2 linked regions of the Oryzias latipes genome follow. The protein of the gene in region 1 purifies or fractionates together with the protein of each later gene. This does not show direct contact. Links are inferred from orthologs where the notes say so. Each region holds a gene or a part of one and is shown on either strand. Other genes may lie near its edges.

Region 1 (7,201 bases):
TTTACGACGCATCGTCATGGTTACGGCCCCATTGGAACATGAAACTGTCCCCCAAAACCCCACAAATCTTGACTGGTTTGCCTTTTTTTAGTCGATCTTTACAAAGAAATTATGCCAAAAATGTTGATTTTGTTTTTATGTGTTGATGTTTGTCTTTATTTTTATTTTTTTTATCCCTGTACGCAATTTAAAAACAAAAAAATATCCTTAAAATTAAGCCATAAACTAAAAAATGTAGACCGACGACCAAAAAAGAATTATTTTACATTTTTTAAAAGAATATGAAGGACTAAATGACTATATATAGAATAAAATATGACCTAAATATTAATTAAAATTTGAAAAAAGCTTGTTTCTTTTGTTGCTATGTTTCCATTTGACAAAAATCTTTAAATTTGGTGGACTAATAGTAAACTACATTTTAGACATTTTTGTTTAAATAATATTTAAACAAAAAAATATTTATTAAACACAACGAAACCAATGTGTGGTTAAAGGAATTGTGTTGATAAAATATTTGCATATGTAGCTAACTGTTTCAGGCTAATTAGACGAGCTCCTGCTACAATTCTAAAATTTAAAAACCATTTTTTTCTTTTTCCCTTTACTGTTAACCTCTGCTTTAGTATTAATAGGTGATTTTCTTGCCTCTTTTCTGCATTATTTTAAAAAAATAAATGTGGGGGATTTGGCGCCCCCTGGTGGACTTTAAAATACAACACAATTTCAACTTGGAACAAAAACTGTGAATAGAGTTTTACAGTAAAAATTAGAATACATATATTCTTTAATCAGTGTACTCAAACAAATATACTTTTTTATTTGTTAATAAGTGACTTTTTTTGTTTAAATTGACATGTGTTAGCCTAATTTAACAAGTTGTAACAAGTCTTCAAAAACAAAATTAAAAAATATTGTTTTTACATTTGAGAAATATTGTTCCATAACTGCTAAGTTTTAGAACCTGAATGCTAATATTTAAATTTAGAATTGGTGCCTCTGGACACAATTTAAACGTCAAATAAAAATGTCAATAAAGGTTTACATTTAATCATCATGTTGAAACTAAGGTCTGATTAAAAAATACTGTTAATAGTTAATTGAAGATGCAACAAAACAGATCTAACCTCTGATGGGGCGTTTGTGGGCGACTGTAAATGTCTGGAACTTACCCTTTCTTCTCCGTAACATCTCTAAAGCATCAGAAAGGAAAACGCGTTAGTGGCTGTGAAAAGCAGCGACTTCACCACGCGGCAGAGAGTCAGAAGTCTTACTTGTCGAACACGGCCTTGACCTTGATCTGGTAGTTGAACTCCTGCAGCTTCACCAGAAACCTGGGTGACAGGGAGGCGGGGTTTAGCCGTATCTTTCCAGGGGGGTTTGTCTCACCCAGCTTCCCGGAACGCAGCGGCCTTACCGTAGTTTGACGGTGAACTGGACGCCGGTCTTCAGCACCAGCGGCCTCTGCGGGTGGGTGGGCATGCACGGCTGCCGCTCCACCACCAGGGAGCTGCACACAGAAGGAGGAGATGCTGACGCGGCGCTTTGCAAAAAAAAAAACACCAAACCGTCTAAAGGGGGAGGAGCCTACTTGGAGAGAAGGTTTTTGAGCAGCTCCAGAGTTCGCGCCTCCAGGAAGGCTTTCTTCTGCGTGATGGGGTCGTTGTCGTACGTGAACTTCTGCTCCAACTCCTGCAGCTTCTTCAGGTGCTGGCGGACCTGCTGGAGGCTCTCCGCCGCGGCCGTGAACCTGCGAGACGAGGAGGAGGAAGAGGATGTGGCGGAGGAGGACGCCTCGCTGAAGGAGATCCTCGGCGGGTTCTCACCAGTTCTGCAGCTGGTCCACGCAGGCGTTTGGCGGGCCGCCGATGCAGGCGATCTGCTGCCGCTGCTTCCACTCCGGCAGCTCCTCGGAGATCAGGTCGGTCAGGAGGGCGTGGATGACGGTGAGGAGGTCGCTCAGCTGGATCACCGCGTCCTGGAAGGAGGAAGCGGGTGAGCCCCCAGGCCTCCCCGCCGGCTCTCAGCGGCGACGCCTCGGCTCACCTGACGCTTGGATTTCAGCTCGAAGCCCATCCGGGCGATGCCCATCTTCTCCTTCTCCAGCTCCTTCGCTGTCATGCCGTTCATCTCGTTCTCTGCCAACAAAAGACGGGATGAAAGGCGAGGCCGCGCTCCCGATCCCGTCCACGCCGGAACGCCGCCTCACCTCTATTCTTCAGGGAGTTGACCCTGAAGTCGTACTCGTCCTGCAGGTCCTCCACGTTCTTGATGTTCACGTCCACCATCTGAAAACACCGAGAGCCCCCGGGGTTAGGAGACGCCGCCGGCTGCAGGAGCTGCAGTGGCTGCAGTGGCGGCGTGGCGTGTGAACCCCACCTGGACTCGGTCCCTCATCTCCTTCACTTTGTTGTCCAGCTTCTGCTTCTCCACCACCATGGCGGACACCGTGCTCTCGCCCTCCTGCTACACAAACACACGCCTCTGTCACCCCTTTGTCACGCCGGCCCACAGAGCGGCGCCGCAGTCTGCGAAGACGCCTCACCTCCATGCTCTTCGCCTTAGCCAGGATGTTCTGCTCCTCTTTCAGGTTCCTGGAGATAATCATGGCCATGTGGACCGGATCCTCCTGGAACCGATCCTGGAAAGGGAGAGAACAGCGGTGAAGTGGCGCCGGCGACTTCCGGGTGTCGGAGGGGTCGGCGGGACTCGGACCTGCAGGTTCCTTTTGATTTTTCGGATGTTGTGCTGCAGCAGGAAGTTGTTCTCCAGCGCAAAGCGGCTGTGCTGGTCGTCCAGCTGAGCCAGCAGGTCGTGGAAGCGAATGGTGGCCAGCGAGTCCTGCATCGCCACCGTGTCCCTGTAGGGGGAGGGAGGGGTTGGACAGGTGAGCGGCGTGGGCCGAGGCGCAAAGCTGGAGAGCGCCGGTCTGCCCGCCATTACCAGTCGATGCTCTCGATCCACTTGCTCAGGTACTGGCGGATGTCCATGGGGAAGGAGTCGTCGTACAGCTGGTCCACCTGCTCCAGGTACTTACAGTCCAACATCTGAAGCTGGCCCCACTGCGCCATCTTCTGGGAAGGTCAGGAACTGCAAACAATTTACCAAAACATTGATAGAAAACCAAAGAAACAGGAATTAGCATGGATGCTAACTACGCTGTTCAAATTTTCACTTCAATGTGAATTTGCTAAAAATATTTCCAAGGAAGAAAGGGGGAAAAAATAACTAAAAGAAAGGAAGAAACTTCTCCAAACTTCACAATTTTGATGGCTAGGCCATCACAAAACTTTATTTAAATACACAAATACTTCTTTTGCTTTGTGGTTGTGCTCCAAAAACAAAAATACAGAAAATATTTCAAAGAATTCTGACAATCCTGTCTTTACTAGAGTCAAAGGTTAAGGCAGGTGTGGTCTTTGCTTGCAGGTTAAGACAAAGTAAATCAGAAATACTCGCAGCATTTCTGTTCCTATTTTTAATCATTTTCAAATTTTCACTTTTACATTAATTCGCATTTTTTTCATTAAAGACTTTAAAACAAAAAAACGTAAAATGAAACCTCAAAAAAGGAAGAAATCGCACCATTTTGGTGGCCGAATCTTCATTTAAACAAACAAATGCCTGTTTGGCTTTGAAGGCTGCACAAACCACATAAACAATAGAATAATTCAAAAAATTCAGACAATCCTGTCATTTCTGGGGTCAAAGGTCAAAGCAGGGGTTTTTTCTTCTTTTTTTCTTGCAGTTTACGACATAGCAAATCATAAAAGCTCACACCATAAATCCTCCTCGACTCACGTCCAGTAGAAAATAATAATAATTTATAACAAAAACTTTCATTCAGGTTCTACTTTTAGAAAAAATTTCCACAGATTTGTTAACCCACTTGTTTAAATAAAGTTATTGACGGTGGCACCGCTGCAGACACTTCACGTAACGTCACTAAAATTGTTTACTTTAGCTTAAATCTTTCACTACTGTTCTATATTGTCATCCTTTAATGTCTATGCATAGTTTATTACATACTCGTAAATTGCAGACACATTACAACGCGTAATAACCATAAAATGTGACGCAATTCGTCGTTAAAAACGTTGCCAAGGATGAAGAGTCCGTTATTACGAGCTTTCATGAAGGCGGCACTACAAAAAACACCAAACTTGTTATTATTTTATGCATTTTTCTCTCATTATCTTTTGTTTTGTCCCGCGTCGCGCCTATATGTTAAAGCGTTAGCACAAACGACAGCTACTTGGTAAACATGTGAAGATTTAAAGGGTCACAACTGCATTATTTATGTGCTTTTTATGGAGTTTTCTCCTAAAGTTTATCACTAGCTTTAGCCGTGTTCAGGTTGTTGTTGCAACTAAACTAAACGGGCAGACAAAGATGGCGACACACAGTCGGTCAAACGCGGTGCCAAACTTACCTTTCACAGCTAAAGGTTGGTTCCGTTTTCAGACAATTCTGCTGTATTTGAGCAGTTTTTCCTTTTCCCAATGTTGAGGAAAGGAGCCTGGCAGGCAGAGACACGCCGCTTCCGTCGATGGACGGTCAGACCAATCACAGCTCAGAACGTCCGGCGCCTTCCCGCCTCCGTCTTCTTTGTAGCCAATCAGAAAACAGTCCACGAGGCTGTTCCTTGAGTTACAACACTAACTTTTCACAACGCTTAAACAGAAGGAATTATCACTTTATTTGGTCAAAAATGACCGAAGGATTATATTTTTACGACTAATTTATGTTTACGAAGACCCCGAAGGTTGCACACAGTCTCTAAATCCTCATACGAGTTCTAAAAACAGGATAAGAATCGTTTTTTCGGAGGGAGGGAACGCAAGTAGTAGAACAGCGGGACGGGATCACGTGTTTTCAGAGAAAGAGAAAGGGGTAAAACTGAAACTTAAATAAAAGTATAACATTTAGTGTATTTTATTGATTTACTCTTTGAAAATGATGTAATATCACACTATAAATAGTCTAGAGTGTAAAGTAGTGCTTTAGTTTTATAAATATTGATATAACATGTATACACAAATATTTTTTCTATTTTTTGACATACACATTTTGTAGTTTTGTTTTTGATTTTAGTTAATAATTGACTTTTTGAATTTAAGGTTTAGTTTTTAACCCAACCAATTTAGTTAGTTTTAATGTCTATTCAACTGTCTGTTTGTTGTTTGTTTTTTACGTAGCTCGCAATTTTGTGTCATTTTTCCCCCCAAAACATGTCCTTAAATCTGGTTTTCCCATGTATGATACTTGACTGCTAGATTCTCGCCTTTCCCATTGCAGTTATCGCCGTCCTTAATCCTAATTGCCAATTTGTGAAGATGAAGGGGTTGTATGATGTCGTATTTGGCCAATGTGGAAGCAACAAAACAAACACCGACACCACTATGACATGTGGGAATTATAATTAAAAGTATATTAATGTTTTATATGTGAGTCAAGCAAACATGAGACAGGTGTATGATAACTTGTGACTTCAAGTGAAGGGTGACAAAGGTTAGAATGTGAACCTGGAGGATGTGCAGGATGTGGTTAAGGGAGCTTCAGACAAAGATCAAAAGAGGAAATAAAGAGTGACAAAGGTCAAAAGAGAAAGGTGAGTTAACCTGGAGGCTTTGTTAAAAATAACTGAGCAGGATGTAAGTTATGCATACATTATGTGTGGATCAATAAAAAGAGCTGTCCGACAAGGGGAAAGCAGAGTTTTAGCACAGTCTGTGTGAGGAGCAGATGTGAGCAGCTGTGCTGGAATTCTCCCTTTGCAAAGGCGAACCAAAGTTTCAGGGTGTGAAGTCTTATTATTCTAACCTTCAACTATAGGATCCTTCTGACTCTGAATCAGAACCCGGGGAAGTCAATTTGGGCTTCAACAGCCATGTGGTCAAATCGGTGTTCCTCTCTTATGCTACGTTCACACAAGCCATGTGTAAGTGTCACTGAAAAGGTTACAAGATTAGTTCATTTTTGGTTAATATCTTTAATATCTTTTCGGAGCTTTCTTGAGGTGCATAATAAAGTAAGTAATAAACTATTTATTTTCACAGTTCAAATATTGAGGAAAGACTGGTGATTTTTTTTTTAGCTGTTTCCAGGAAAAACAACAACAAAAAAGCAGTTTTCTGGATAATTTAAAGAAACATTGATTAGAGGAAAACCCATCACTGCAAAAAAGAAAATTCAGAAAACAAGAGAAAAATCTATTATTAAATCATAAAACACAATAATTTTCCCTTTTTTAAAGCATAAACTAGACATTGCACATATTTACACACAAATTATAAAAAAATGTTTACGCACAAAAGATATATTTTACACAAACATTGCACCTTTTTAGGCACACATCTAAATTATCAACACACTAATGTCGACTTGAGCGTACAAAACACAAATTTACGCACAACCTTCTTTTTTTCTTTAAAAGCCATTGACCAGGCATTGTACTTTTTTGGTCACACTTATTGTGTATGTACGAAAAAATGTCGACGTTTTACGCACAGAAGACACATTTTCGCACAAACTTTTAAAGCATTAACCAGACATTGCATCCTTTTGGGAACATGTTTCGCATCTTCACACAAATATCAAGGTCTAAATGAATTTAATCATATCTCAATAACAGTTACATAAAAAACTGGTTGAAGGTATAATTGTCGCTTTAATGCTCAGGTAAAGCAGAAAGAGCAGTTTTTATGAAATTACACTAATATTGTAAACTGTTAAGGAACTTTTTCTTGAATATAACCGTTTTACATTAACCACTATCAAATGGAAACAAAAACTCACAGTGGTGTAAGAAAAATAAATTAAGAAAAAATGTCAAAACAAGCAAAACCTCTGCATTACATGAGAAAAGGCAGTGTGTACTTTGGGCCTATACTGCCTGAACAAATGCAGAGTAGTGCAATTTTTTGAGGTATTATTTAAAGAAAGATGACTATAGTATTCATTCTATTTATATAGTATTGTTTCAACTTAGTTTTACATATGTATCATCAAGTCATTTTTGAGGGTCTGCAGCCTTTGTGGTAGTTTACCACCTTCTAAAGCAAGTAAATCTTTGGAATGAATTCCAACGCGTTGGTCAGTGTTTTGGGATATTTGAGGAGCATTGCATAGAGTCCAAACATGACCACGAAAGGCATCACCGGATCTGGGGAGGCTGGGGATCACTTTCAATCCCAACAGA
Region 2 (6,984 bases), on another chromosome or scaffold:
ATATGCAAACACACAAACGTGCACTTGCGCATAGATTTGCGCACACACAGATACACATTCAAGTACACATGTGCACACACCCAGACATATACACGCACATAGACATGCACACGTTAAGCGCACACACTCACAGACAAATGAACGTGCACACATATGTGCAAACAAATACACGTAAACGTGCACTCACTCAAGCATATGTACACACACGTGCAGTTGTACATAGACGTACAAACAGACGTGCATGTTAACGTGTGCACACACACACGTGCACAGAGCTTGTCCTTCAAACAGGAGGTGTCCCTTCCACAGACAGGTGAGTTTGCAGCTCCAGCTGGAAAACGAAGACGATGTGATGAAGCTGCAATCCGTCTTTTTCACTTTGGAAACCTTCGATCCTCCGTGGATCCACCTCCTCCACGGATGAGTTCTGCTGCCTTTACATTTCAAACGGGAACGTTCGTGACTTTAATCCCGAACATTTGCAGTGGAACACGTGGATGAAACTCAGGAAAGTCCGGTGAGCATCTTCATCTCACAGAGAAGACGATTGGACGGATTTACCGACCAGAACATCTGATCATCAGGAATGTGAAGCTCTAAGCTTCTGAGGAGAATGTGGAAGCAGGAAGTCACACTCCAGATCCCAAAATAAAAGTTTGAACTTGTTTTTTTCCTCCATCTTCTGAGGAACGTTCATGTATACAACGTTCCTTCAGTCTTAGTGTTTCCTGATCTGAAAACCTTCAGTTCACTTGATTTTTGGGGTTGAAGGTTCAAACTTGGCGTAAAGGTGAAATAGAAGTGCTGGAGATGTTTGTGCAAAAACTCCTTAGAGCAAAACCTTCTGGTTGCTCGTCCCCCCCCTCCCTCGGCGGCGCTCCCGGTCAGACGGAGGGAGATGTTGGTGGCTCCTGAGCTGCTGCCGGCACCGACACCAGGTTCAGGGTGATCTCCCCCAGCGGAGACTGACTAGCCAGAGTCTGGAGCACGGAGATGGACTGAAAGATGGAGAGGGCGTTCTGGACCTGCTCCTCCGCCCAGGGAATGGAAACCTGCAGAGGAGGTGTAGACATGGAGAGGATGCTGAGGAGGAGGAGGAGGAGGAGGAGGAGGAGCAGGAGCAACACCTGAGCCTAAAAGCAGGCCAGTTCTGACAACCCCTTCATCTAAAAAATACTACAGAATGTGAAATGGGTCAGAAATAACAGCATGGTTCTGGTTCTGTCTGTGTGTGTGTGTGTGTGGGGGGGGGTCTGAGTGGACCTCCTCACCGTGGCGGTGATCAGTTTGGTGCTGGGGTCCTCTGTGTGAGACAGCTCCTCCCCAAAGCACAGAGTGAAGCTGCACTGGGGGGGCTCGCCCCCGCTGGTCCGGAAATGATCCAGTTCTGCTCAGACGGGAGGGAGGGGGGGGTTAGGCAGACAGAAACATGAGCACCAACCCCCCTCCCCCCCATTGGACAGTGGGACTCACGCTGCCTGAAGATGTCTTTACTGAAGAGCAGCACCGGCTCCGTGTTCCGCTCCATGCGCTGCAGACCCGCTTCACAGCCATGCGGCCCGGTCCAAAAGACCCGCCCCTGGCAGAACCTCTTTCCGTAAACGCCCTGCGGTTGGGAGGTCAGCACCACCCCCCTCTCCATGAAGGGCAGCAGGGTGAAAATGGCTTGGCGCTGCTGGCCGGCGGGCAGCGTGGGGGGTGGCTCCGGCAGCAGGATCCGCGGGAAGCTCTTGTTCAGGGCGGCCGGCGTCGGCGGCAGGGCGGACGACGGCTGGTACAGGATCCTGACGTCGGAGCCGTGGATCTGCCGCCGGGCCACCTCCTGCCCCAGATACTGAACCGCCACCACGATGGAGTCCTGACCTGCAGACAGCAAACATCCCCGTCACCGTCCGGGGAGGGCGGGGCTTCACGAACGTCATCCCGCCTCCCGTTACCTGGAGCAGGGGGGGAGACGCTCTCCTCGATGCGCACGTCCAGCTGGATCTCCCCTAGAGCTGCAGAAACGCCAAACCCGTTACGGCGAGGAACATCAAGCAGAATCCTTCAGTGGGGGAAAAGACTCACCGTCGGTTTGCAGGACGGTGCTGCTCTGCGGGGGCTCCTCCATCGGTGACGGGATGGCGCTCTGCAGCAGAAGCTCCACCTCCAGCTGTTGGAATGAGGAGGAAGAAAGCCTTCATGACCTCCCCGCCGTTTCCGATAGCAACCAAACCAACCAACCCAACTTCCTGAAGGATGTTCAGCGGGAGGCTTCGGCACCGTCCCGCCTAACTCGCCTGTGGGGGCGGAGCCTCGTCGGTTTTCATCTGTTTGACCAGACTGGGTTCGCTCTGGGCCTCGCTGCCGCGCCTCTTCAGCTTCCTGCTGCCCTTTTCCTTGCTTTTCTTCTCGGGCATCACCAAACCTGGAGCGGGAAGTACAAAAACCTGCCGCGTTAGCCATGCGGGTGGGGGCGGGACACCGCCACAGAGCGCGCTCAGAGAGCACCAGCATGCACGGACTAACTTAGATATTTCTTTGAATCTGTAGACGTCTATTACTAAATGATTCATTAACTATTTCATGTCAAATTTTTAAACTTCTGCAGGAAAGATAAGGGGTTAGATAAGAAACCAGGAAAAAGTAATAGAGACTCTAAAAAAAAAGAGAGCCTCATGGTTCAAATTGGGGGGGGGTAAGCAAAGTGGCCCCACCCTGCTCGCTGATGGGGACGAGCCGGTAGACCTTGTAGGGCTCCGAGATGTCCAGCTGGGCTCGCTCCGGAACCTCCTGGAACTCCGGACTCTTGTTAAGAGCGCAGCGGAGGCGCGTCTTCCAGCCAGCCGGGTTGTCCTCACCGCCGTCCGTCAGCTTTCCCTTAAACTCCGCCCACGCCTGCAGACACGGAGCCGTCAGTCTTTAGCAGCCGCCATCGCTCCGGTCCTGATCCACATCCTCACCTTAAAGATGGCGGCGTCTTCGTCTTTACGAAAGTCCTGCTTTCCGGCGTGTTTCCAGGGGATCCGGAACATGGTTTTGGCGTCGTCGTCCCACATGACGCCCGGGTACTTCCCGCTGCTGACCTGTGGATCCCAGAAGACATCAGAGGGTCGCTGGTTTGAATCTTTTTGTAGTTTTCCTCCTAAATGTGATCCAAACACAGAAGTGACCGTTGCAGTTCCACAGCAGACCACCAGAGGCAGCGATCTGCTGAACCCCCCAAAGTTAAAAAGTCAATGTTCTTAAGATGATGGTCAACAACTTTCCCAAACCATTGACGTAAAAACGAACGGACGGCTCAACCCCCCCCCCCCCCCCTTTATGTTCCCAAGGAACATAGGGGGGGGGGGGGGGGGGGGGAGGAAGTACCATTCCAGTACCGGGCGCCGCCATGTTGAAACCAGTCGACAGTGATTGGTGCAGGTCACTCTGGGTTATGGTATCTATGGCAACTACTGTCGGCATCGCCATAGATACGAGGACTCAGAGCGACCTGGACCAATCCCTGTCGACTGGTTTCAACATGGCGGCGCCCGTATCAGGAAGCAGTGGCGAGGGATTTGGCCTCATTTCGCCAGAGCTGGAGGTCAGGCATGCCCTGTGGGTGACGTCACGCCTCCATGCGTCCGTCGTCTATACAGTCGGTGTGGTGAAAACCAAACTTTGGAACACATGACATCAAACTGTGAGCAACATTTAAAGAATCTACGTGTCCGTGGCTCATATGAATGAATAAGGTGTATCTCTGCAACACACAGAGATTATATATGCTGCAATATTTACACCATCAGTAATCCACAAGATTGATTGACATTAGAATCCAGGTTGACGTGTTAAGTTTACCCTGACCTTTGTCTGAAGGTTTTAATGCATCAACATATACCGTGTTTACTTTAGGACAGGGCATTTTATCCCCCCACCCCCACCCCACCTGGAGGAGACTCACCTGCTCGATGATCCACGAGCGCAGCTTGCGCGTGGAGCGCATCCTCACCGCCACCATGGCCTAATAAAACGGGTTTTTTTACCTAACAGGCGGAAGTAACCTGTAGGCATAAACAAGAAAACGCGGTTATTTATTTATTGATTCATTGAGTTGAACTAGATCTTTTTTTTTCATCATGACACCTCAAACTAAAAAAAAAAAAAAACTTATAAACAAGTGACAGAACAACAGCAAAACGAGAAGTGTGCGCGAGCGCGCGCGGTCCATGTTTTTCAGAAGAAGATGATAAGCCGAGCTCGTATAATCTCGCATGTTTCGGACCGAAACTTTTCAGTTAATCTATTTTTATAACAGTGAGCCCTAACACCCCACCCCCACCGCTCCCCAAATCCACAGTAACGGAATTAGGTTTCGTTACCTCTGCGGTGTTTCCTCTGTGAAGCCGTCGCTTTCTGTTGCTCTCAAGTTCGAATCCGTCAGTCCCCGTCCAGCCCCCGGACACAGCCTTTTCCCCGAAACCACGTGACTTTACCGAAACGACCCACCGCTGACCGCTAGAGGGCGACAAAGTACACCGTTTATTGTGTTCAGGAGAACAAAACACAGAAACAAACACTCGGGATAGAAAAGCAAACAAAAAGACATAAAAAAAGGGTCGACTCCACATTAAAGCATTATTCAATTAATTTGCTTCATCTGTCCTTTAGAAAAATACATTTTCAATACCAACAGGGGTATCTCATCAGCAGTCATTCAAACCAACTACATCTTCTGACTGGATGGTTCAACATCCAGTCAAAATCAAACCCTGTGCAGGAGAAAATGACACAAAAATGCCAAATCTAAAAAAATGACAGCTAAAAAAGATGAACAAAAATCAACTGACATTAGGATTCTACATTAATAAAAATGAGTGCTTCCTTTCTGAACCTTTGCGCTTCTGTTACCCTCAGTGTAACCAGCCAAAACTTCCCCACAGGGTAATTACCCAAACATTACACTCAAAACTTCTATACTTCCTTAAAATATATTTTAAAATAATAATAAACCATTTAAGGGTACACGGTAATCACACAACAGAGCAAACTTGAATAAGTGTGATGTCATGTCCTGTTTACCAGTGTGGAGAAAAGAGTTATGACGCATGTTCCCGTTTGACAGTGAATTCTGGGTAATAAATGCCAGTAGGTAATTTTAACTCTTTGTCACATGGTGAGAAAATAAGGCAGAGATGCAGCCCAGAAAAAAACGATGTTGACTTGCAGGCAGGTTTGCACAAGTGGAGGAATGAATGAAAAGGAAGTGTAGAACAGGGATCCTCAACCCCTGGACTGAAACACAAAAACTCACAGACGCACAACGGATAATCTCACTTCAGGTTTATTCAGGTCAATCCAACATTTTAAAGAAACTACAATCATGGTTCCACCTGATTTTTATTGAGCGGGTTAGACAGTCAAATCGGAACGATCAGATCTTCAAAGATGAAAATGATTCGTGGCATGAAGCCGAGACACGACCACAGAAGAGCAAACGCCGTCAGTGAGGGGAGACAATCCTCCATCACAGACACAAAACTCAAGCTGATGCCACTTCCGCTGCGTTTCTTCATGTTTTTCGAGGAACTTTCTCTCCCAGAGGAACCTCCATCAGTTTCTGTGGGACACAGCAGGACGTGCATGAGTGGGGGGTGTATCAGCCGTGGTTAGGCCGTCCCGCAGCTCACCACTAACCTTCAGCAGGCGGGCGTGGTAGTCGTTGTCGTCCTCCGCCTCTGCCCTCTGCGTGTCCACCTGGTAGCGCTCACAGGCCCGGGTCAGCTCCTGGCTTTGGTAGAGCGGCGCAGGATCCAGGGAGTGAGCGTTGATCAGACTCACCAGGTACTCTCTGTAGTGTTTGCTGCAGGGCAGACAGGGAGTAGAACCCGCAGCTTCAGAGGAGCTTCAAAAGCCTCACAGAGATGCTGATGTCCCGTCCTTTGAGGAGAAATTTCTCCTTTTGATCTTTACTGTTTAGCTGCTTAAATCCCCACTAATATATAAAGTCTTTGTAATTTAAACTGAATTAATGTGTTCTCATCAAAAGCTTCATTTCTGCTAACCGGTGATTTCAAATAAAAACAAAAATGCCGTTTCTGCCAAGTCCCACCACCATTTTTTTATTCATGATGAAGCCGTTTTTAGCCAAAATGTAAATAAATGCTGTTGTTTTCATAGTGTCTGCAGAGCGGCAGGAGTTCATGACAAATCTGACACTGAGTCGGCCCCCTTAGTAACCCCGCCCCCTCTTCCCCTCGCCATTGCTGAGAGTTCGTGGTTTCTACGTCACATATGCGACCTTGTTCCTCTGCCCCCGACTCATGATTGGAATCAGGAAATCCTCCGATACGTTAAAGCAGAGCTCATAATGCAGACGTTTTACTCACTCGCAGAGTCCCGCCTGACCCGGCTGCGTTTGGACGCCGCAGGGAGAGTCCACCTGCTGCCCGCCCTCGTCTTTCTGCTCCATCACGCCGCAGGCGTCTGCGTCAGAAGCACTTTAGAATCCTCCAGCCTTTGGCGGCGGAGCGGCGGGCGGACACAGACTTACCCGTTTGAGCCCCGCTGGACGGATCCGTGTTGTAGCCGACTCTGTTCCTCTGAGCACAAAAAAAACAGAAACGTCAGCGTGACGGCGTCAGCGTGACGGCGTCAGCGTGACGGCGTCAGCGTGACGGCGTCAGCGTGACGGCGTCAGCGTGACGGCGTCAGCGGCCCTCTCCTCTTCGCAAACACAGAAGCTGACCTGCAGCAGCGCCTGCAGCCGAGCCGCATCCCAGTCCCGCAGGTAGAAGAGGCAGTCCCGAGGGTGGTGGGCGTGCAGACCGGGGTAACTGCACTGAGGAGCTTTGCACGCAGTCTGCAGGAGAGCAGCAGATGCTGTGAGGATCAAAACATCTCATACCTTTTAAGAAAATACCTCAGAGATGGGAAACAATCAAAGAACTTGAACATCCTTTCCGTCTGCAGGAAGCCCCTCCCACCGGCCCAGCTACATCTGAATGTTTGAGCTTCAAA

What was found. Proteins that work in one complex are often made in the same cells at the same time.
Region 2: the proteins of signal transducer and activator of transcription 1-alpha/beta (region 1) and irf9 purify together in Homo sapiens (affinity purification with western blotting; 5 studies listed by BioGRID and IntAct, with this or other methods). This does not show direct contact. The link is inferred for Oryzias latipes from reciprocal best matches to the Homo sapiens genes STAT1 and IRF9.

What each region holds. Positions count from the first base shown.
Region 1 is NC_019860.2:3,989,658-3,996,858, forward strand, and holds the start of signal transducer and activator of transcription 1-alpha/beta, read right to left. Parts: upstream 4,566-7,201; 5' UTR 4,433-4,565; intron 3,113-4,432; exon of another isoform or gene 3,091-3,112; 5' UTR 3,072-3,090; coding exon 2,944-3,071; intron 2,861-2,943; coding exon 2,716-2,860; intron 2,642-2,715; coding exon 2,546-2,641; intron 2,467-2,545; coding exon 2,380-2,466; intron 2,289-2,379; coding exon 2,210-2,288; intron 2,139-2,209; coding exon 2,047-2,138; intron 1,979-2,046; coding exon 1,827-1,978; intron 1,751-1,826; coding exon 1,592-1,750; intron 1,511-1,591; coding exon 1,418-1,510; intron 1,335-1,417; coding exon 1,275-1,334; intron 1,194-1,274; coding exon 1,173-1,193; intron 1-1,172. UniProt on the Homo sapiens protein: Signal transducer and transcription activator that mediates cellular responses to interferons (IFNs), cytokine KITLG/SCF and other cytokines and other growth factors.
Region 2 is NC_019878.2:23,623,255-23,630,238, forward strand, and holds the start of irf9 (interferon regulatory factor 9), read right to left. Parts: upstream 4,460-6,984; 5' UTR 4,347-4,459; intron 4,029-4,346; 5' UTR 3,986-4,028; coding exon 3,929-3,985; intron 3,066-3,928; coding exon 2,943-3,065; intron 2,878-2,942; coding exon 2,697-2,877; intron 2,408-2,696; coding exon 2,280-2,407; intron 2,153-2,279; coding exon 2,068-2,152; intron 1,998-2,067; coding exon 1,938-1,997; intron 1,864-1,937; coding exon 1,474-1,863; intron 1,388-1,473; coding exon 1,272-1,387; intron 1,053-1,271; coding exon 885-1,052; 3' UTR 1-884. Other genes in the region: E3 ubiquitin-protein ligase RNF31, read right to left, coding at 5,537-5,584, 5,662-5,827, 6,354-6,450, 6,518-6,566, 6,713-6,826.